3 linked regions of the Arabidopsis thaliana genome follow. The protein of the gene in region 1 interacts with the protein of each later gene in a pairwise test. Each region holds a gene or a part of one and is shown in the gene's direction. Other genes may lie near its edges. The genes, in order: GH9A1, CESA4 and CESA6.

Evidence for each region.
Region 2: the proteins of GH9A1 (region 1) and CESA4 interact in a two-hybrid assay, tested with the Arabidopsis thaliana proteins (one study listed by BioGRID).
Region 3: the proteins of GH9A1 (region 1) and CESA6 interact in a two-hybrid assay, tested with the Arabidopsis thaliana proteins (one study listed by BioGRID).

Annotation. Positions count from the first base shown.
Region 1 is NC_003076.8:20,196,882-20,202,515, reverse strand, and holds GH9A1 (glycosyl hydrolase 9A1), read left to right. Parts: upstream 1-2,047; 5' UTR 2,048-2,347; coding exon 2,348-2,720; intron 2,721-2,798; coding exon 2,799-3,109; intron 3,110-3,182; coding exon 3,183-3,647; intron 3,648-3,763; coding exon 3,764-3,899; intron 3,900-4,000; coding exon 4,001-4,173; intron 4,174-4,343; coding exon 4,344-4,751; 3' UTR 4,752-5,125; downstream 5,126-5,634. Other genes in the region: FRO6 (ferric reduction oxidase 6), read left to right, coding at 4-259, 342-789, 992-1,161; AT5G49710 (RING finger protein), read right to left, coding at 5,328-5,409, 5,509-5,617. UniProt on the Arabidopsis thaliana protein: Required for cellulose microfibril formation. Involved in cell wall assembly during cell elongation and cell plate maturation in cytokinesis. Required for secondary cell wall formation in the developing xylem.
Region 2 is NC_003076.8:17,712,708-17,720,163, forward strand, and holds CESA4 (cellulose synthase A4), read left to right. Parts: upstream 1-1,682; 5' UTR 1,683-2,005; coding exon 2,006-2,041; intron 2,042-2,150; coding exon 2,151-2,343; intron 2,344-2,423; coding exon 2,424-2,699; intron 2,700-2,791; coding exon 2,792-2,948; intron 2,949-2,979; exon of another isoform or gene 2,980-3,031; coding exon 3,032-3,644; intron 3,645-3,717; coding exon 3,718-3,855; intron 3,856-3,949; coding exon 3,950-4,075; intron 4,076-4,154; coding exon 4,155-4,367; intron 4,368-4,438; coding exon 4,439-4,984; intron 4,985-5,545; coding exon 5,546-5,896; intron 5,897-6,269; coding exon 6,270-6,857; downstream 6,858-7,456. Other genes in the region: AT5G44020 (HAD superfamily, subfamily IIIB acid phosphatase), read left to right, coding at 1-156, 404-613, 1,162-1,339; AT5G44040 (eisosome SEG2-like protein), read right to left, coding at 7,189-7,456. UniProt on the Arabidopsis thaliana protein: Catalytic subunit of cellulose synthase terminal complexes ('rosettes'), required for beta-1,4-glucan microfibril crystallization, a major mechanism of the cell wall formation. Involved in the secondary cell wall formation.
Region 3 is NC_003076.8:25,879,324-25,887,088, forward strand, and holds CESA6 (cellulose synthase 6), read left to right. Parts: upstream 1-1,709; 5' UTR 1,710-2,231; coding exon 2,232-2,312; intron 2,313-2,706; coding exon 2,707-2,902; intron 2,903-2,990; coding exon 2,991-3,193; intron 3,194-3,276; coding exon 3,277-3,554; intron 3,555-3,636; coding exon 3,637-3,903; intron 3,904-3,986; coding exon 3,987-4,332; intron 4,333-4,519; coding exon 4,520-4,657; intron 4,658-4,743; coding exon 4,744-4,869; intron 4,870-4,980; coding exon 4,981-5,193; intron 5,194-5,276; coding exon 5,277-5,553; intron 5,554-5,638; coding exon 5,639-5,835; intron 5,836-5,917; coding exon 5,918-6,268; intron 6,269-6,428; coding exon 6,429-7,010; 3' UTR 7,011-7,405; downstream 7,406-7,765. UniProt on the Arabidopsis thaliana protein: Catalytic subunit of cellulose synthase terminal complexes ('rosettes'), required for beta-1,4-glucan microfibril crystallization, a major mechanism of the cell wall formation. Involved in the primary cell wall formation.

The DNA of each region.
Region 1 (5,634 bases):
CAGGTATGAGAACCTGGTCTTAGTAGCAGGAGGAATCGGGATTACGCCTTTTTTCGCCATCTTAAGCGATATCCTACACCGTAAAAGAGATGGGAAAGCTTGTTTACCTAGTAAGGTTTTAGTTGTATGGGCCATTAAAAACTCAGACGAGCTCTCTCTGCTCTCAGCAATTGACATACCTTCCATTTGCCCTTTCTTCTCTAAGAAACTAAACCTTGAGATTCACATATATATCACTCGACAATCCGAGCCTCGCTTGGTACGTCTTAAATAAGTCTTTTGGGAGCTGCAATAGGCCTTACTAAGCTTGTTGAACTCTTTAATGTTTCATGGTTATACAGGAAGATGGGATGGTTCACAAGGTGGTGCATCCTTCTGTCAAGCTACCACGGACCAACGGATGTTCTATGTCGGTACTAGTTGGTACAGGGGATAACATATGGTCTGGACTCTATCTAATTATATCCACCATTGGATTTATTTCAATGATCACATTGTTGGACATCTTTTACATAAAAAGATACAACATAACAACGTGGTGGTACAAGGGACTTCTATTTGTTGGTTGTATGGTTGCAAGTGTCTTGATTTTTGGAGGTCTTGTGGTTGTTTTCTGGCATCGCTGGGAACACAAAACCGGTGAAGTGGAAGCAAATGGCAACGACAAGGTAGATTTGAATGGAGAAGAAACCCATAATCCATCTGCAGCAGAGCTTAAGGGCTTGGCAATAGAAGAAGATGTCCAGAATTACACCACTATTCGTTATGGCACCAGACCGGCCTTTAGAGGTATACACTACAAAATTAGCGGTGTCAAGTCCAGTTATCTCGTTTTTTTATTTATAAAATTATAGAAACTGAAATCATTCGGAACGGTTTGACACGGTTTCGTTCGGTTCTTGAATCCGACTTTTGGTGTAGATATTTGGCTCGATTCGGTTAAGTTAAATCTTTGATTGGTTCATGTAATATTTTTATTTTGTAATTGCAGAGATATTTGAGTCATTGAATGGGAAATGGGGGAGTGTGGATGTTGGAGTGATAGTATGCGGTCCAGCGACTCTTCAGACGACCGTAGCCAAAGAAATACGGTCACATAGCATCTGGCGATCGGCGAATCATCCTCTTTTCCACTTCAACAGCCACAGTTTCGATCTCTAACGATGCTTTCAAGGCCAAAGAACATTATGGAAGGAAATTCGAAGACAAATTGATGCATATATTTTAGGTAATCTCTGTCAGTATGTACTATGGAAACAGCTATGGTTGATATGTGTATGTTTATCTTTCAGTTTTCGATGTATAAAGTAGAAATCAAATGTATGAGCATCTATGGTTTCTAGTTCTACACTTGTTGGTGTTTCTACATTGGACATTTAATATTAATTAAATGCAAGCTGATAAGTCCTATAATTACATAGCTGCCCATATATTTTCGGAATTTTTTAAAGTAGAGATATATTCATATATATATGAGGGATTAGATTCTATAATTACGAATGTATTTAATTTCAAATTAAAAGTTAGATTCTCATAATTCTCCTTACTTACTCTGTGAGGGATTAGAGTCGTAAAAATGACCACAAGATGTAATTTTTTTTTAGGTCATTGATCTACCATCAATTTGTCGGACACACTTATCTTATAAGTTTTAAATTTTAACAAATGTAAGTGAAATTTTGTGGTAGACTATCATTTTCAAGTAGAAGTAGAATTTAAGTAACCTTCCTTGTTATAATTTTTTTTTAAAAATTATGTCATTACTTAGAGCCCACCAGAAATGATGACGTGTAAAACACCATAATCATAAAGGATAAAATAAAATTATCATCCCACCGACAGTTTATTAGCGGAGATGTCTTTTTCCATCCACCCGACATTAGCCCATTGCTTTACTAGTAAACAAAGTATATGCAATTTTTTGTTAGAAAAAACGGTGCATAAAAAATAATATTTTAATGTCTCCGACAAATTTTAATTGTATGAAAAATAAATACACAAGATTACAAGTTGGCCAAAACGCTCAATCATAGTTGGCCAAAAATATACTATTCCAAAATTAGAGTTAGCTGTAACGTAACATGTACAAATAAACCAAACAAAACATATAATAACAAAATAATTGAAGTGAGTTTTAAAAAGGAAAAAAAAAAAAGAGTAAAAAACCAAAACCAGATCTCTCAAAGAGTCTTTGTACATTATTGACTAGAGAGAGCTTTTTAGCTTCACATTTCTTCACTTCCACACACTTTTACTTCTTTCTCTCTTCTCTTCTCTTCTCCAGATCTGATCCCAAACCTTTGATTCATTGTTGTTGTTCTCTGCTGCTTTATCAGAGAGCATCATCATGTACGGAAGAGATCCATGGGGAGGTCCATTGGAGATAAACACTGCAGATTCCGCCACCGACGATGATCGTAGTCGGAATTTAAACGATTTGGATCGTGCGGCTCTTTCACGTCCACTAGATGAGACGCAGCAGAGTTGGTTACTTGGTCCAACGGAGCAGAAGAAGAAGAAGTACGTCGATCTCGGTTGTATTATCGTTAGCCGCAAGATCTTCGTCTGGACTGTTGGTACTCTTGTTGCCGCCGCGTTACTCGCCGGATTCATTACCTTGATCGTTAAAACTGTGCCGCGTCATCATCCTAAGACTCCGCCGCCGGATAATTATACTATAGCTCTACACAAAGCTCTTAAGTTCTTCAATGCTCAGAAATGTAAGTGTAGAATCTACTTAGATCTGATAAAATTTAGATATAGAGTTTTAGATCTAAGTCTGATTTTGATTGTTGTAGCTGGGAAATTGCCAAAGCATAATAACGTGTCATGGAGAGGTAATTCTGGGCTTCAAGATGGGAAAGGTGAAACAGGAAGCTTCTATAAAGATTTGGTGGGAGGTTATTATGATGCTGGTGATGCTATCAAGTTCAATTTCCCCATGGCTTATGCTATGACTATGTTGAGCTGGAGTGTTATTGAATATAGTGCTAAATACGAAGCTGCTGGTGAGCTCACTCATGTTAAGGAGCTTATCAAATGGGGAACTGATTACTTTCTCAAGACTTTCAATAGTACTGCTGATTCCATTGATGATCTTGTGTCACAGGTACTTGTTTATGACCTTCGTAGGAGATCTTTCATATTGAGTTGTTTGTTCACTCGTTACATGTTTAATGTAGGTTGGATCAGGGAATACTGATGATGGAAATACAGATCCTAATGACCATTACTGTTGGATGCGACCTGAGGATATGGACTATAAAAGGCCCGTGACTACTTGTAATGGTGGATGTTCGGATCTCGCTGCAGAGATGGCAGCTGCTCTGGCTTCAGCATCTATTGTATTCAAGGATAACAAGGAATATTCTAAAAAGCTTGTCCATGGTGCTAAGGTGGTGTATCAGTTTGGAAGGACGAGGAGAGGGAGATATAGTGCAGGCACTGCGGAATCTAGCAAGTTCTATAATTCAAGTATGTATTGGGATGAGTTCATTTGGGGTGGTGCTTGGATGTATTATGCTACCGGAAATGTAACGTATCTCAATCTAATCACCCAACCTACTATGGCCAAGCATGCTGGTGCCTTCTGGGGTGGCCCTTACTATGGTGTATTTAGCTGGGACAACAAGCTTGCTGGTGCTCAGGTCAGTCCACACATAACAACCTGCTGTGTTTATGTTTCTTAGATATTCATGTCTTCTTGATCATTTGCCTTAACCATACTACTCTTGACTCTTTTGAATCCCTTTTGCGATTTTAGTTGCTGTTGAGCCGGTTGAGGTTGTTTCTGAGTCCTGGATATCCATATGAAGAAATTCTAAGGACCTTCCACAATCAGACCAGCATAGTCATGTGCTCATACTTGCCTATTTTCAACAAATTTAACAGAACCAATGGTTAGTTACCTTCCAGCTTTAATGTCTGCCTCTAATAAAACTCCAACTGTGGGGCTTGTTCTTGTTTCAGATATCTAAAATGAAATCTTTGGTATGTGCAGGAGGTTTAATAGAGTTGAATCATGGAGCTCCACAGCCGCTGCAATATTCTGTAAATGCAGCTTTCTTAGCGACTCTATACAGTGATTATCTGGATGCTGCTGATACTCCTGGATGGTACTGTGGACCTAATTTCTATTCGACAAGTGTGCTACGTGACTTTGCTAGATCCCAGGTATTGCTTCTTTTCCTTTACTCTTTACAGAAATGGTAATCTCAGATATAGTAATGGATAAGATCCAAAAATGACACTTTTAACCAAGATTGTACGAAGATCTTTTTAAACTCCATTTTTTATTTTGACATCTAAATTGGATTTAACTCGGCCTTGCTGTATTTTGGCAGATTGATTATATACTGGGTAAAAACCCTCGGAAAATGAGTTATGTCGTTGGTTTTGGCACAAAATACCCAAGACATGTGCATCACAGAGGAGCTTCGATACCCAAGAACAAAGTCAAGTATAACTGCAAAGGAGGATGGAAATGGAGAGACAGCAAGAAACCAAACCCAAACACGATTGAAGGAGCCATGGTTGCTGGTCCTGACAAGCGCGACGGGTACCGTGATGTCCGTATGAACTACAACTACACTGAACCGACTCTTGCAGGCAATGCTGGTCTAGTCGCAGCTCTTGTGGCATTATCGGGTGAAGAAGAAGCCACCGGTAAGATAGACAAAAACACTATTTTCTCAGCTGTTCCTCCTTTGTTCCCTACTCCACCACCTCCACCAGCACCATGGAAACCTTGAGAAAGCTAGACTTGTGTGATTCTGTCGCTGCTGCCAAAAAAAATGAATGAGGTAAGAAGGATTTGGGTGTGAGACCAGAAGATTAGAAGCTAAACACAAGTCAGCCATAACCAAACTACTAAGGATTTCATTTGGCTTTACTAGATACAAACACGGGGTGGGTTACTTTACCACAAGCATTGTCTTTCTTTTCTTTTTTTGGGTTGCTGTTTTGTTCTTGTGAGATATCATATATATCTATGCGTTTTACTCTGTATATGTTTGATACCAAACTTGTATTCTTTGATAAACAATTTAATGAACTGTATTAAACTTTTAACTATGTTTTATTGTGCAAGTGTGAGATCAACCTGGAATAACAACTGTAGTCTACTAAAATACGTGATTCTAGCATGCATTTACTCATTTAATGGATATAAACGATGATGCAGAAAGAATATTGCAGTAAAGAACGGAATTACATATGGCATTCTTTATACATGATGAAGTTGTATTCACAGAGATCATGGAGAAACCCAAATTAAACTGTTATCACAGTACACAGGCGAGATGTGTTCGAGAAGGCGTCATCGTCAATCAAACGAGCTTCGATATTACATGACATGACGCCCAAAAGGCCTTTGATGCAACCCTCAGGATCACGGGGTTTTGATAGATCCTGTCGGTGAAATGAACAAAATAAAAATGCTTGGTGAGAACGATAAACAATGGGACTATTAGATTTTGCAATGTAGAAGATGACTAGATGATATTATACCCTATAACAGTTGCGCTCCATGACGCTACGTTGTAAGCAACCTTACTTCCATCCCAGGCTTTCCGAAGTTTCCCCTTTCTATTCTTCACTGAGAACATCCTGCTAAGTGCTACATTACAATTCAAA
Region 2 (7,456 bases), 2.5 Mb from region 1:
AGATGACGTGGAGAGAGCCGTCGATGAAGCCATCCTCTACCTCGGAAAAACTTGTTGCGAGAAGAAGACATGCGATGGCATGGATGCTTGGATCTTTGACATTGATGACACTCTTCTCTCAACCATTCCTTACCACAAGAGCAACGGTTGTTTCGGGTAAATAAACTAAACTTAACCATATACATTAGCCTTGATTCGGTTTTTGGTTTGATTTATGGATATTAAAGATCCGAATTATATTTGAACAAAAAAAAATGATTATGTCACATAAAAAAAAATTGGCTTGAATTTTGGTTTAGATGGGTTTAAATGTCTACCTCTAATCATTTCATTTGTTTTCTGGTTAGCTTTAATTCGGTTTAGAATGAAACCGGGATTGACATGTTACATTGATTTGAAACAGTGGTGAGCAACTGAACACGACCAAGTTCGAGGAATGGCAAAATTCGGGCAAGGCACCAGCGGTTCCACACATGGTGAAGTTGTACCATGAGATCAGAGAGAGAGGTTTCAAGATCTTTTTGATCTCTTCTCGTAAAGAGTATCTCAGATCTGCCACCGTCGAAAATCTTATTGAAGCCGGTTACCACAGCTGGTCTAACCTCCTTCTGAGGTTCGAATCATATTTAATAACCGCATTAAACCGAAATTTAAATTCTAATTTCACCAAATCAAAAAGTAAAACTAGAACACTTCAGATAAATTTTGTCGTTCTGTTGACTTCATTTATTCTCTAAACACAAAGAACTATAGACCATAATCGAAATAAAAACCCTAAAAACCAAATTTATCTATTTAAAACAAACATTAGCTATTTGAGTTTCTTTTAGGTAAGTTATTTAAGGTTTTGGAGACTTTAAGATGTTTTCAGCATTTATGGTTGTGTCATTAATTTGTTTAGTTTAGTAAAGAAAGAAAAGATAGTAATTAAAGAGTTGGTTGTGAAATCATATTTAAAACATTAATAGGTATTTATGTCTAATTTGGGGACAAAATAGTGGAATTCTTTATCATATCTAGCTAGTTCTTATCGAGTTTGAACTCGGGTTATGATTATGTTACATGCATTGGTCCATATAAATCTATGAGCAATCAATATAATTCGAGCATTTTGGTATAACATAATGAGCCAAGTATAACAAAAGTATCAAACCTATGCAGGGGAGAAGATGATGAAAAGAAGAGTGTGAGCCAATACAAAGCAGATTTGAGGACATGGCTTACAAGTCTTGGGTACAGAGTTTGGGGAGTGATGGGTGCACAATGGAACAGCTTCTCTGGTTGTCCAGTTCCCAAGAGAACCTTCAAGCTCCCTAACTCCATCTACTATGTCGCCTGATTAAATCTTATTTACTAACAAAACAATAAGATCAGAGTTTCATTCTGATTCTTGAGTCTTTTTTTTCTCTCTCCCTCTTTTCATTTCTGGTTTATATAACCAATTCAAATGCTTATGATCCATGCATGAACCATGATCATCTTTGTGTTTTTTTTTCCTTCTGTATTACCATTTTGGGCCTTTGTGAAATTGATTTTGGGCTTTTGTTATATAATCTCCTCTTTCTCTTTCTCTACCTGATTGGATTCAAGAACATAGCCAGATTTGGTAAAGTTTATAAGATACAAAATATTAAGTAAGACTAAAGTAGAAATACATAATAACTTGAAAGCTACTCTAAGTTATACAAATTCTAAAGAACTCAAAAGAATAACAAACAGTAGAAGTTGGAAGCTCAAGCAATTAAATTATATAAAAACACTAACTACACTGAGCTGTCTCCTTCTTCCACCAAATCTTGTTGCTGTCTCTTGAAGCTTTCTTATGACACAAACCTTAGACCCAATTTCACTCACAGTTTGGTACAACCTCAGTTTTCTTCACAACAAATTCAAACATCTTACCCTTATATTACCTCTTTATCTCTTCAATCATCAAAACACATAGTCACATACATTTCTCTACCCCACCTTCTGCTCTGCTTCCGAGAGCTCAGTGTACCTCGCCATGGAACCAAACACCATGGCCAGCTTCGACGATGAGGTAAGAGAAAACAAAACCGAAACTTGTTTCCTAGGTTTTGTTCTTTACCAAATTCTTTCATTTGGATTCACATTAAAATCTCAACGTAATGTACATTTCGTGGATGCAGCATCGTCATTCCTCATTCTCGGCTAAGATTTGCAAAGTCTGTGGCGATGAGGTCAAAGACGATGACAATGGTCAGACTTTTGTGGCGTGTCACGTGTGCGTTTACCCGGTTTGCAAACCTTGCTATGAATATGAGCGTAGCAACGGTAACAAATGTTGCCCTCAATGCAACACTCTTTACAAACGCCACAAAGGTAGATTAACTTAAACCCTGTTTTCCTCTCAAAACTATATCTAGCTTGACTCTCATACTGGTGAATTGTTTTGCTTGAAGGCTCTCCAAAAATCGCCGGAGATGAAGAAAACAATGGTCCTGATGATTCAGATGATGAGTTGAATATCAAATATCGCCAGGATGGTTCCTCCATTCACCAGAATTTTGCCTATGGATCGGTACTATTTGACTTTGATTCATGTTTTTTCTTTATAGTCTCTCTTTCCCATTTGGATCAAATTCTGAGTATTTTCTCGGTAATGCAGGAAAATGGAGACTACAACAGTAAGCAGCAATGGCGTCCAAATGGTCGAGCCTTTTCTTCCACCGGAAGTGGTATAAATAGAAAATATGTGTGAAATATGTAAATACCTATAGATGTGCAAACGCAAAATTTGAGACCTGTTTCTGTATGATTTGATTTGAAGTGTTGGGGAAAGACTTTGAAGCTGAGAGAGATGGCTACACAGATGCGGAGTGGAAAGAACGTGTAGATAAATGGAAAGCGAGGCAAGAGAAGAGAGGTTTAGTGACTAAAGGAGAACAAACAAACGAAGACAAAGAAGATGATGAAGAAGAATACCTGTAATAAACAAAAATCTGTTTTTCCTTTTATCTCAAGTATTAAAGACTTGAAGCGTAAGTAACTGAGTTCTTGTTGTTTACAGAGATGCTGAAGCAAGACAACCTCTCTGGAGAAAAGTCCCAATCTCTTCGAGCAAAATCAGTCCTTACCGCATCGTGATCGTTCTTCGCCTTGTGATCTTAGTTTTCTTCTTCCGTTTCCGTATCTTGACACCAGCCAAAGACGCATACCCTCTCTGGCTTATCTCAGTCATCTGCGAGATCTGGTTCGCTCTCTCTTGGATCCTTGATCAGTTCCCGAAATGGTTTCCGATTAACCGAGAAACCTACCTTGACCGTCTCTCTATGAGATTTGAACGGGATGGGGAAAAGAACAAGCTTGCACCGGTTGATGTGTTTGTCAGTACAGTGGATCCGCTCAAGGAACCTCCCATAATCACAGCCAACACAATTCTTTCGATCTTAGCCGTTGATTACCCAGTGAATAAGGTGAGCTGCTATGTGTCTGATGACGGTGCATCAATGCTCCTGTTCGATACATTGTCCGAAACTTCCGAGTTTGCAAGGAGATGGGTTCCGTTTTGCAAGAAGTACAATGTTGAGCCAAGAGCTCCAGAGTTTTACTTCTCAGAGAAGATTGATTACCTAAAGGATAAAGTCCAAACTACATTCGTCAAAGATCGCAGAGCAATGAAGGTCAGTGAAGAAAGATCTCTTACTTTTAAACCACAGAACATATCTTCTTTACTTACTTGTCAGTGTTTTGCAGAGAGAATATGAAGAATTCAAAGTGAGGATCAATGCTTTAGTAGCTAAAGCTCAAAAGAAGCCTGAAGAAGGTTGGGTTATGCAAGATGGTACACCATGGCCTGGGAATAACACTCGTGATCATCCCGGGATGATTCAGGTCACCACGAAAACCTCAAATCCCAACGGTTACGATATACCATCAAAGGTTCCACCTTTGGATCTAACCAACTACTTTGATTCAACTTTTTCAGGTGTATCTCGGCAAAGAAGGAGCATTCGACATTGATGGTAACGAATTGCCACGTCTCGTGTATGTATCAAGAGAGAAGCGTCCTGGTTACGCACACCACAAGAAAGCTGGAGCCATGAATGCAATGGTAAGCAAAGCAAAGCAAATCAAACAGTCAAAAGCTCACTAAGAAACCAAATCTAACTTGTTTTCGGGTGATGTCGCAGGTTCGAGTCTCTGCAGTACTCACTAATGCTCCATTCATGCTTAATCTCGACTGTGACCATTACATCAACAACAGTAAAGCCATAAGAGAATCAATGTGCTTTCTAATGGATCCACAGCTTGGTAAAAAGCTCTGTTATGTCCAATTCCCACAAAGATTCGACGGAATCGATCTTAACGATCGATACGCCAACAGAAACATCGTCTTCTTCGATGTAAGTCTTCATTAGCAAAACCCCCGAATTCAAAATTCAAAACCCTTAAATCTGATTTTTGTTTATAACAGATAAACATGAGAGGCTTAGATGGAATCCAAGGACCAGTCTATGTAGGAACAGGATGTGTATTCAATAGACCAGCATTATACGGATACGAACCTCCGGTATCGGAAAAACGAAAGAAAATGACATGTGATTGTTGGCCGTCGTGGATCTGCTGTTGTTGCGGCGGAGGTAACCGTAATCACAAATCAGATTCGTCAAAGAAGAAATCAGGAATCAAGAGCTTGTTCTCGAAACTAAAGAAGAAGACTAAGAAGAAGAGTGATGATAAAACGATGAGCAGCTATAGTAGAAAACGATCATCGACGGAGGCGATTTTTGATTTGGAAGATATTGAGGAAGGGCTTGAAGGATATGATGAGCTTGAGAAATCTTCGTTAATGTCGCAGAAGAATTTTGAGAAGAGATTTGGAATGTCTCCTGTGTTTATTGCGTCGACGTTGATGGAGAACGGAGGATTGCCGGAGGCGACGAACACGAGCTCGTTGATCAAAGAAGCTATTCATGTTATTAGCTGTGGTTATGAAGAGAAGACTGAATGGGGCAAAGAGGTAAATAATCATATTTATACTTTATAGTGTGGAATTCCTAATATTGCAGAATTGCTAAGAGTAAGACAATTAACAAAATAACTTTCAAGTAATACAAAAATATTTTGAAATAATAATAAAAACTAATTTTCAAAACATTAGTTTAAAAAAAACAAAAATAAAATAAACTTCTATTATAATTTCTAAAGATTAAAATAAAATCAAAAACTTTTTCCTTTGTCAACCACATATTACTCGAAAATTTATTTTATTTTTAGTTTACATTTTTAAATATTTATCCGTAACTCGCGAATTTAAATGACTGAATTCATCAACTAAATTGAATTTTACTAGTTATAATTGTTTTGTAGAATATATAGATTGACTAAATAAAAAGTTTGATTTACTAGTTATTTTGATTTTACAATTTGCAATATATGTTTAATCAATCCTTTTTTTCTTTTGCAAATATAAATTAGAAAGATAACCAAAAAGCTGTTATCTAATACTAATATTGATTTGAGTATGGATTTTAGTGCTTGACTCTTGATTTTTGAACTATGTTTCATTGTTGTGTTTCAGATTGGATGGATTTATGGATCAGTAACAGAAGATATCCTCACTGGATTTAGAATGCATTGTAGAGGTTGGAAATCAGTTTACTGTATGCCTAAAAGACCAGCTTTCAAAGGATCAGCTCCGATCAATTTATCTGATCGGTTGCACCAAGTTCTTAGATGGGCTCTTGGTTCCGTCGAAATCTTCTTTAGTCGTCATTGTCCTTTGTGGTATGCTTGGGGAGGCAAGCTTAAGATTCTAGAACGTCTTGCTTACATCAACACAATTGTTTATCCTTTCACTTCTATTCCTCTACTTGCCTATTGTACTATTCCGGCCGTTTGTCTTCTCACCGGCAAGTTCATCATTCCTACGGTAAGTGCTCATGATCTATGTATACTTTAAACTCCTAATGGTTTTTACACTTTAACCATAATTCATGAAAAAATAATTATTTTACCCAAACGTTTATAAGAGACTTCTTTTGCGACTATATTTTAGAAACCAGTTCCATCAATCCTACGGCTAGTTTTTTTTAACCCTTAAACTCCTAAAAGTTTGCACTCTTACCCCTAAAGTTTATATCCTAAATTCCAAATATTTAACTCTTTTACCCCTTAGTTATATAAAAATTCACTGTTACCCTAAATGTATTTGTCACAAAATCGAAGAAATGATTATACTTTTTTTTTTGACAATTAGAAATGATTATACTTTATTAACACCCTTTTGCTCTCTTTTGATTCAGATCAACAATTTCGCAAGCATATGGTTCTTAGCTCTGTTCCTATCAATCATTGCAACGGCTATCTTAGAACTCCGGTGGAGTGGTGTAAGCATCAATGACCTCTGGCGTAACGAGCAATTCTGGGTGATTGGCGGTGTCTCAGCTCATCTCTTCGCTGTCTTTCAAGGTCTTCTTAAAGTTCTCTTTGGTGTTGACACTAACTTCACCGTCACGTCAAAAGGAGCCAGTGACGAAGCCGATGAGTTTGGAGATCTTTACCTCTTTAAATGGACAACCCTTCTCATCCCTCCGACAACTCTCATTATTCTCAACATGGTCGGTGTTGTTGCCGGAGTTTCTGACGCTATTAACAATGGATATGGTTCTTGGGGACCGCTTTTTGGGAAACTGTTTTTCGCGTTTTGGGTCATTGTTCATCTTTATCCTTTCCTCAAAGGTTTGATGGGTAGACAAAACCGAACACCGACGATTGTTGTTCTTTGGTCTATCCTTCTCGCTTCGATCTTCTCTTTGGTTTGGGTTCGGATTGATCCGTTCTTGCCGAAACAGACTGGTCCGTTACTGAAGCAATGTGGCGTCGACTGTTAAATGAGGAACCGCATTTTCGTTTTGGACCGCTATTTTGAGCCATTTTGCTTGGCCTATTTTTCCGATTTGGGTGTTCTTTGTTGGATTATATGGATTTGTAAGGAGGAAAAAAAATACAAAACTTTGATTCACTTGTGAAATAAAGTAGACAAATTTCTGTAAAATACAAACAAATAGAATGAATATTACTAAATCAAATCACACACAAAACACAACGATTTTGTTATCAACCACACACACACAAACAAACAGAGTGATAAAAATAATTTCACAAAGGCAATGTAGTAACCAAACATGTGTGGAATTCTTTCTCTGTTGTGGAATTGGAGTTCTAAGAACTTCGACTGTACTTGTTCGTTGCCATTGAGTGACTGTTCCAGTAACCACCAACTGTTCCAATTATCGGTGATTCAGGGCTTCTACTTGGCGATTTCCTTGGCGAATTCGTAGCTGAGAACTGCTTTATCTCCTCTGCAGTTAACGCGCCCAATATAGGTCTTTCATCATGGCATTGAACCAGTTTCGAGTATTTCTTCTTCTCGGACATTGTGGTTTCAACACTGCTACAACCGCTGGTCGTGGTTTGTGATGTGGATAAC
Region 3 (7,765 bases), 5.7 Mb from region 1:
TCTTGAAAATTAAAACAATATTTACTAGGAAAAAGAATAATATAAGGGCACCGACAGTTTCTATAAGAACATGTGGCACGAGGGCTTGGAGAAGACAGTACACAGCATTCAATCAATCATGAAAACGACATTTGATGTGGTAACCTACTAAAGTTCGATCTTTTTTTATGAAAGTTTCTTAATATTTCTTTAATTTCCGGACTATATCTATCAACAAGTCAAAAGATTAAAAAAAATCAACAAGCAAAATACTGTTAAAATATTGTTTTATATATACCACGAACTATTTGTCGGCAAATGTATACATATAGTATAGACATCATACATGGGCAAATCGCATATATTTGTGTGATGTGATACCATAGTCTCAATAATTTGAACATTTTTCTCTTATTTAAGCACGGAGGAAAAATTAGCTATATGGCGACTTGGCGAGTGGAGCCAAGATTAAAAAAAAAAAAAGCATGTTATTTAAAAATATGGTAGACATAACATACAAAAAAATATAGTAAAATAAACAGAACTGATTGAACAAAAGAGAGTGATCAAAGTTGAAAAATAATTTAACTATAAAAACTAAAAAGAAAATTATCAGAGGATGGAGATATTAAACTAATAAAAATGTAATTAAATAAGTAAACTATAAATTAAATAAGTAAAAAATTAAACGTAATTAGAAGGAACAAAAAAAACTAGAAAAGTAAAAACATAAGAGAGGAAGGAGGGAAGCAAAAGTGAAAACCAATGCAGTCAACAGTCAAAAACCATGATACAGTCCATGCGTAGAACATAATTAACTTAAGCAATAAATTTAATAAGTAAAAAATTAAACGTAATTAGAAGGAACAAAAAAAAAGTATATAAAAAATTAGAAGGAACAAAAAAAAAAACTAGAAAATAGGATCTTGGACACGATGCTTACAGATTGTTTTTTGTCTGGGAAGTAAATGCCCATATCTGTTTCTCGACATTTTGAAGTCTCTCTAACAAAATAATTAGAGGAATTAAGAACTTGATTGTGTAACTTTTTTTTTAATCTTAAATTAAGATAATACTATTTCATTACAACTATTATTTTCTTGCACATGTTGCAAGAACGTGAGAGTGTACGCAGACAAATAATTAAAACGAAAATAAAATTATAATGATTATATACAATCTCGGCTATCAATTGATTAATAGAGAAAATTGACTAACCACTCTGAATTGGCTCAAAATGTAGTTATTAATTCAAACCGAGTTTCACTTCATTTATATTATTTTCATTTTTTAACTTTAAAATATATATATTTAATAAACCAAATATGATCTAAACTAAATCTAAAAGGCTCCATCCAAAGTAGATTTGATTTTACTATATATTTAAAACATGTATGGTAGGAAAATTTAACCGAAACCAAATTAAACACATTTTAGGGTGAAGAAAATCACCCAAAAAAAAAAGGTGACTTTTTTTTGTAACAAAACAAAAGACCTAAAGTTTAGAGACAAAATAAAATGTTAGGGTGATTCAATGCATCACATAATACAGTATTGTTAATAATTAATGGCTAATAATAATGTGTGTTTGGAAGTTTTTACTAATCTCTTCTTTACAACAACAAGTGGAGTGGAAGAGAGAGATACACACAAGGTTTAATGGGTCCCACATTCTTTTACTTCTCAAAATTTAATTACTAATTTTATCTAATTTTGGTGCTCTTTTTCCTCATCTACATAATTGCCTTTAATTATCTCACACCATTTAACTAATCACTGATTCTCTTCTTCCTTACGCGTTTGTACTTAACCCCCTTTTATCATCATTTCGCAGGCTTGCGTCTGTCTCTCTCTCTCTCTCCACCATTGACTCTCTCTCTCTCTCTCGCTCTGGAATCATCCTTTATTTCTGTGACTGTGTGCACTTTCAGAGAGGAGAGAGAGGCCCAAAACCAAAAGAAAAGAAAAGGTTGTGGCTTGCAGCTGAATCAATACCATCTCCATATATACAATACACCTTCACTATTCCCCCTTTTGTATTTTTATTATATTTTTCCCATCAAAGTCTGTTTTTTTAGACTCCGGTTTGCCGCTTTGTGTGTGTGTGAGAGAGAGAAAGAGAGCTATCTATCCTCTGATTTATGGTCTCTGGATCTCTGACAATCGAGTTGAGTTAATTACAACACATTCCTCTCTTTCTCAATCGATCTGTGAAATCCAAGATTGTTAGCTGTGTCTGTTTTCAGACAAATATGAACACCGGTGGTCGGTTAATCGCCGGTTCTCACAACAGGAATGAGTTTGTCCTCATTAATGCCGATGAGAATGCCCGAGTATGTTTCTCCTCTTCTTTTGTTTCCAATTCTCTGTCTTTTGATCTGTGTTTCTCTATCTCTGTTCAAAAGTCTCTGACTTTTTTTACTTTTCTTGTGGATCTGGCTCTTACCACTGCAAATCAATTAAGATTTAGGGTTTTTAGTACTAGTATTAAGATTACGTACCCTTGTAGCTAATTTTATCAAGAATTGATTGTGTCGGTGGGATGGATTTTTCCGGATTTGACTTGTCTTAATTCTCCAATTTAAGAGATTTCTTCAATTGCAATTATGAATCTATCAATGTGAAGAGTAATAATTATGTTATTGGGTTACTTTGATCTGGTGTGAGATCCAGTCTGATAGTGTCACTACTATGATCTGATGTATTTAACTCTACTGTTTTGTGCAGATAAGATCAGTCCAAGAGCTGAGTGGACAGACATGTCAAATCTGCAGAGATGAGATCGAATTGACTGTTGATGGAGAACCGTTTGTGGCATGTAACGAATGTGCATTCCCTGTGTGTAGACCTTGCTATGAGTACGAAAGACGAGAAGGCAATCAAGCTTGTCCACAGTGCAAAACCCGTTTCAAACGTCTTAAAGGTTCGTTGTTTGTTAGACCAAATTTCTTTGGTTTTTTGTGAATGTAGAAGATTTTCTGATTTGTTCGGCCTATGTTGTTGTTTGTTAGGAAGTCCAAGAGTTGAAGGTGATGAAGAGGAAGATGACATTGATGATTTAGACAATGAGTTTGAGTATGGAAATAATGGGATTGGATTTGATCAGGTTTCTGAAGGTATGTCAATCTCTCGTCGCAACTCCGGTTTCCCACAATCTGATTTGGATTCAGCTCCACCTGGCTCTCAGATTCCATTGCTGACTTACGGCGACGAGGTAAAAATCTCAGAATGTATCCACATTGTATAACCCATCTTCAGTAATTGGCTCACTCAGATTTCTCTTTTGTTTTATTACAGGACGTTGAGATTTCTTCTGATAGACATGCTCTTATTGTTCCTCCTTCACTTGGTGGTCATGGCAATAGAGTTCATCCTGTTTCTCTTTCTGACCCGACCGTGGCTGCACATCCAAGGCCTATGGTACCTCAGAAAGATCTTGCGGTTTATGGTTATGGAAGTGTCGCTTGGAAAGATCGGATGGAGGAATGGAAGAGAAAGCAGAATGAGAAACTTCAGGTTGTTAGGCATGAAGGAGATCCTGATTTTGAAGATGGTGATGATGCTGATTTTCCAATGTAAGGCAAAGAATATAATTTTTTTTGTTGATGTCTTGTTCCGTTGCAGTGATATTTATCAAGCCTTTTTTTTCCATTTTAGGATGGATGAGGGAAGGCAGCCATTGTCTAGGAAGATACCAATCAAATCGAGCAAGATAAATCCTTACCGGATGTTAATTGTGCTACGTCTTGTGATTCTTGGTCTCTTCTTTCACTACCGTATTCTTCACCCCGTCAAAGATGCATATGCTTTGTGGCTTATTTCTGTTATATGTGAGATATGGTTTGCTGTTTCATGGGTTCTTGATCAGTTCCCTAAATGGTACCCTATCGAGCGAGAAACGTACTTGGACCGACTCTCATTAAGGTACTTACATCTTGTGGGTTATTACACTTGGAAATGTTAAAACTTTGTTTTGGGGATATAATCCTTATTTTTTTTGTTTGCAGATATGAGAAAGAAGGGAAACCGTCGGGACTATCCCCTGTGGATGTATTTGTTAGTACAGTGGATCCATTGAAAGAGCCTCCGCTTATTACTGCAAATACTGTCTTGTCTATTCTTGCTGTTGATTATCCTGTCGATAAGGTTGCTTGTTACGTATCTGATGATGGTGCTGCTATGCTTACTTTCGAAGCTCTTTCTGAGACCGCTGAATTCGCAAGGAAATGGGTTCCTTTCTGCAAGAAATATTGTATTGAGCCTCGTGCTCCCGAATGGTATTTCTGCCATAAAATGGACTACTTGAAGAATAAAGTTCATCCCGCATTTGTTAGGGAGCGGCGAGCCATGAAGGTTACTAGTTCTTACTTTTTTATAAATTTGATTTGATGAGAAAAGTTTTGGTCTAATTGATTCTTGCTTTAGAAAAAAAAAATTCATGAGAAAAGTTATCAATCTTTTGTTATATGGGCTCTTATGAAAGAAGATGGTGGCTTTGAAAATTGATTTGAAAGATTGTGTGTTTTACTGGTTTTGACAGAGAGATTATGAAGAATTCAAAGTAAAGATCAATGCTTTAGTAGCAACAGCACAGAAAGTGCCTGAGGATGGTTGGACTATGCAAGACGGTACACCTTGGCCCGGTAATAGTGTGCGAGATCATCCTGGCATGATTCAGGTGAGTTTCAAATGCTTCTTATTTCTGAAAAGCCTTCTTATGTGTTGTCCTTCAAAATTTAATTATACTTTGTTTTCTTGTTAAAGGTCTTCCTTGGAAGTGACGGTGTTCGTGATGTCGAAAACAACGAGTTGCCTCGATTAGTTTACGTTTCTCGTGAGAAGAGACCCGGATTTGATCACCATAAGAAGGCTGGAGCTATGAATTCCCTGGTAAATGATATACTTTTTAAAGCTCTAAACCTTCTTCTTTGTAAATTACGTCTTGCCATTTATTGAAATGGTTCCTGACTCTTGATTTCATCTACAAAACTTTTGTTGAAGATACGAGTCTCTGGGGTTCTATCAAATGCTCCTTACCTTCTGAATGTCGATTGTGATCACTACATCAACAATAGCAAAGCTCTTAGAGAAGCAATGTGTTTCATGATGGATCCTCAGTCAGGAAAGAAAATCTGTTATGTTCAGTTCCCTCAAAGGTTCGATGGGATTGATAGGCACGATCGATACTCAAATCGCAATGTTGTGTTCTTTGATGTAAGTACAGCCACCACTTTCCTATTGTATCCCTTTTTCTTGAGATTTCTGTAGAATACCAACTAATGAATCTTTATTTACAGATCAATATGAAAGGTTTGGATGGGCTACAAGGGCCTATATACGTCGGTACAGGTTGTGTTTTCAGGAGGCAAGCGCTTTACGGATTTGATGCACCGAAGAAGAAGAAGGGCCCACGTAAGACATGCAATTGCTGGCCAAAATGGTGTCTCCTATGTTTTGGTTCAAGAAAGAATCGTAAAGCAAAGACAGTGGCTGCGGATAAGAAGAAGAAGAATAGGGAAGCGTCAAAGCAGATCCACGCATTAGAAAATATCGAAGAGGGCCGCGTCACTAAAGGTATCATACAAATCCTGTTTGTTGTTAAACTCTTTCGTTAGTCGGTGCATTTTACTAAAAAAATAAAATTTAAAAAACATTCTAGGTTCTAACGTAGAACAGTCAACCGAGGCAATGCAAATGAAGTTGGAGAAGAAATTTGGGCAGTCTCCTGTATTTGTTGCATCTGCGCGTATGGAGAATGGTGGGATGGCTAGAAACGCAAGCCCGGCTTGTCTGCTTAAAGAAGCCATCCAAGTCATTAGTTGCGGATATGAAGATAAAACTGAATGGGGAAAAGAGGTAAGCAGCCGGTTTTAAACCTTTGTTGTGTTTATTCAATCAATTCTTGATTTTGATGATGACCTTGTGAAAAAAATCTCAGATTGGGTGGATCTATGGTTCTGTTACCGAAGATATTCTTACGGGTTTTAAGATGCATTCTCATGGTTGGAGATCTGTTTATTGTACACCAAAGTTAGCGGCTTTCAAAGGATCAGCTCCAATCAATCTTTCGGATCGTCTCCATCAAGTTCTTCGATGGGCGCTTGGGTCGGTTGAGATTTTCTTGAGTAGGCATTGTCCTATTTGGTATGGTTATGGAGGTGGGTTGAAATGGCTTGAGCGGTTGTCCTACATTAACTCTGTGGTTTACCCGTGGACCTCTCTACCGCTCATCGTTTACTGTTCTCTCCCTGCCATCTGTCTTCTCACTGGAAAATTCATCGTTCCCGAGGTAAAACAATCATCTTGAGTTCTCAAAATATGAATCTTTATTTCACGTTTTGTGCTTATTCATTTTCCTTGCCACTGGGGGTTAAAAGTATCATATGAATCTTTATTCCAAGTTGTGTGTTTTAAGACCGGAAAACGATTCTTGTTCCTTCTTTTTCCAGATTAGCAACTATGCGAGTATCCTCTTCATGGCGCTCTTCTCGTCGATTGCAATAACGGGTATTCTCGAGATGCAATGGGGCAAAGTTGGGATCGATGATTGGTGGAGAAACGAACAGTTTTGGGTCATTGGAGGTGTTTCTGCGCATCTGTTTGCTCTCTTCCAAGGTCTCCTCAAGGTTCTTGCTGGTGTCGACACTAACTTCACAGTCACATCAAAAGCAGCTGATGATGGAGAGTTCTCTGACCTTTACCTCTTCAAATGGACTTCACTTCTCATCCCTCCAATGACTCTACTCATCATAAACGTCATTGGAGTCATAGTCGGAGTCTCTGATGCCATCAGCAATGGATACGACTCGTGGGGACCGCTTTTCGGAAGACTGTTCTTTGCACTTTGGGTCATCATTCATCTTTACCCGTTCCTTAAAGGTTTGCTTGGGAAACAAGATAGAATGCCAACCATTATTGTCGTCTGGTCCATCCTCCTGGCCTCGATTCTTACACTTCTTTGGGTCCGGGTTAATCCGTTTGTGGCGAAAGGCGGTCCTATTCTCGAGATCTGTGGTTTAGACTGCTTGTGATTCGATTGACCGGTGGATGGGTTGGTGAAAAAGGTTTAATTCCCACGGATCAAAGAGAGGTAAGAGAGATATTGTTTTACCTCTAAAAGACTCCTTCATTGTGTTCATTAGATGATGAAAAATGAAAAGAAAAAGAAGATTTAATTTTGTTACGAGAATTGTTATTTTTGCAAGAATGTGTTGTAGATATAGAGATGAAGAAGAAAGTTGTTGTCTATTTGTTTTGTTCTTTGGTGGTGAGAGAAAAAAGATTTGTCAAATTATTCTTTAATTGAATATTTCTGATCTCTTTTGAATATTACAGAAGAGCATTTTCAATCTGTAATCTTTTATGATTAAAGAACTTTGATTTATTTTCACTAATTTCCCTATCTTATTTCTTGTTTGAAAAATTAATTTACTCGAGGTTTGATTGGTTTTGATTTTCAATCCGCATGCTTGGAGACGTTTTAAAGCATCCATTAAAAATGTTACCAAACCTTAGAAAATTACGAACTTGATCAGAGTGGCCCAAAACAAATTATACAGGCCCAATACAGGCCCGAATCTACACAGCCTTTTACACTTTTATTGGTTCTGTTTTGACAAGTGACATGGTGCTTTCATCATATCTGCAGAGGGCAGCACTCAGATTGGTTAGTCTTTTTGGTTAGAGAATTTTGAAAACTTTTTTGTTTCTCATTTGTAAGTGTCACTACGCAAAGTAATTTAATATTTTTGTATCGTTCTAGTTTTATTAAAATGTCTACACATAG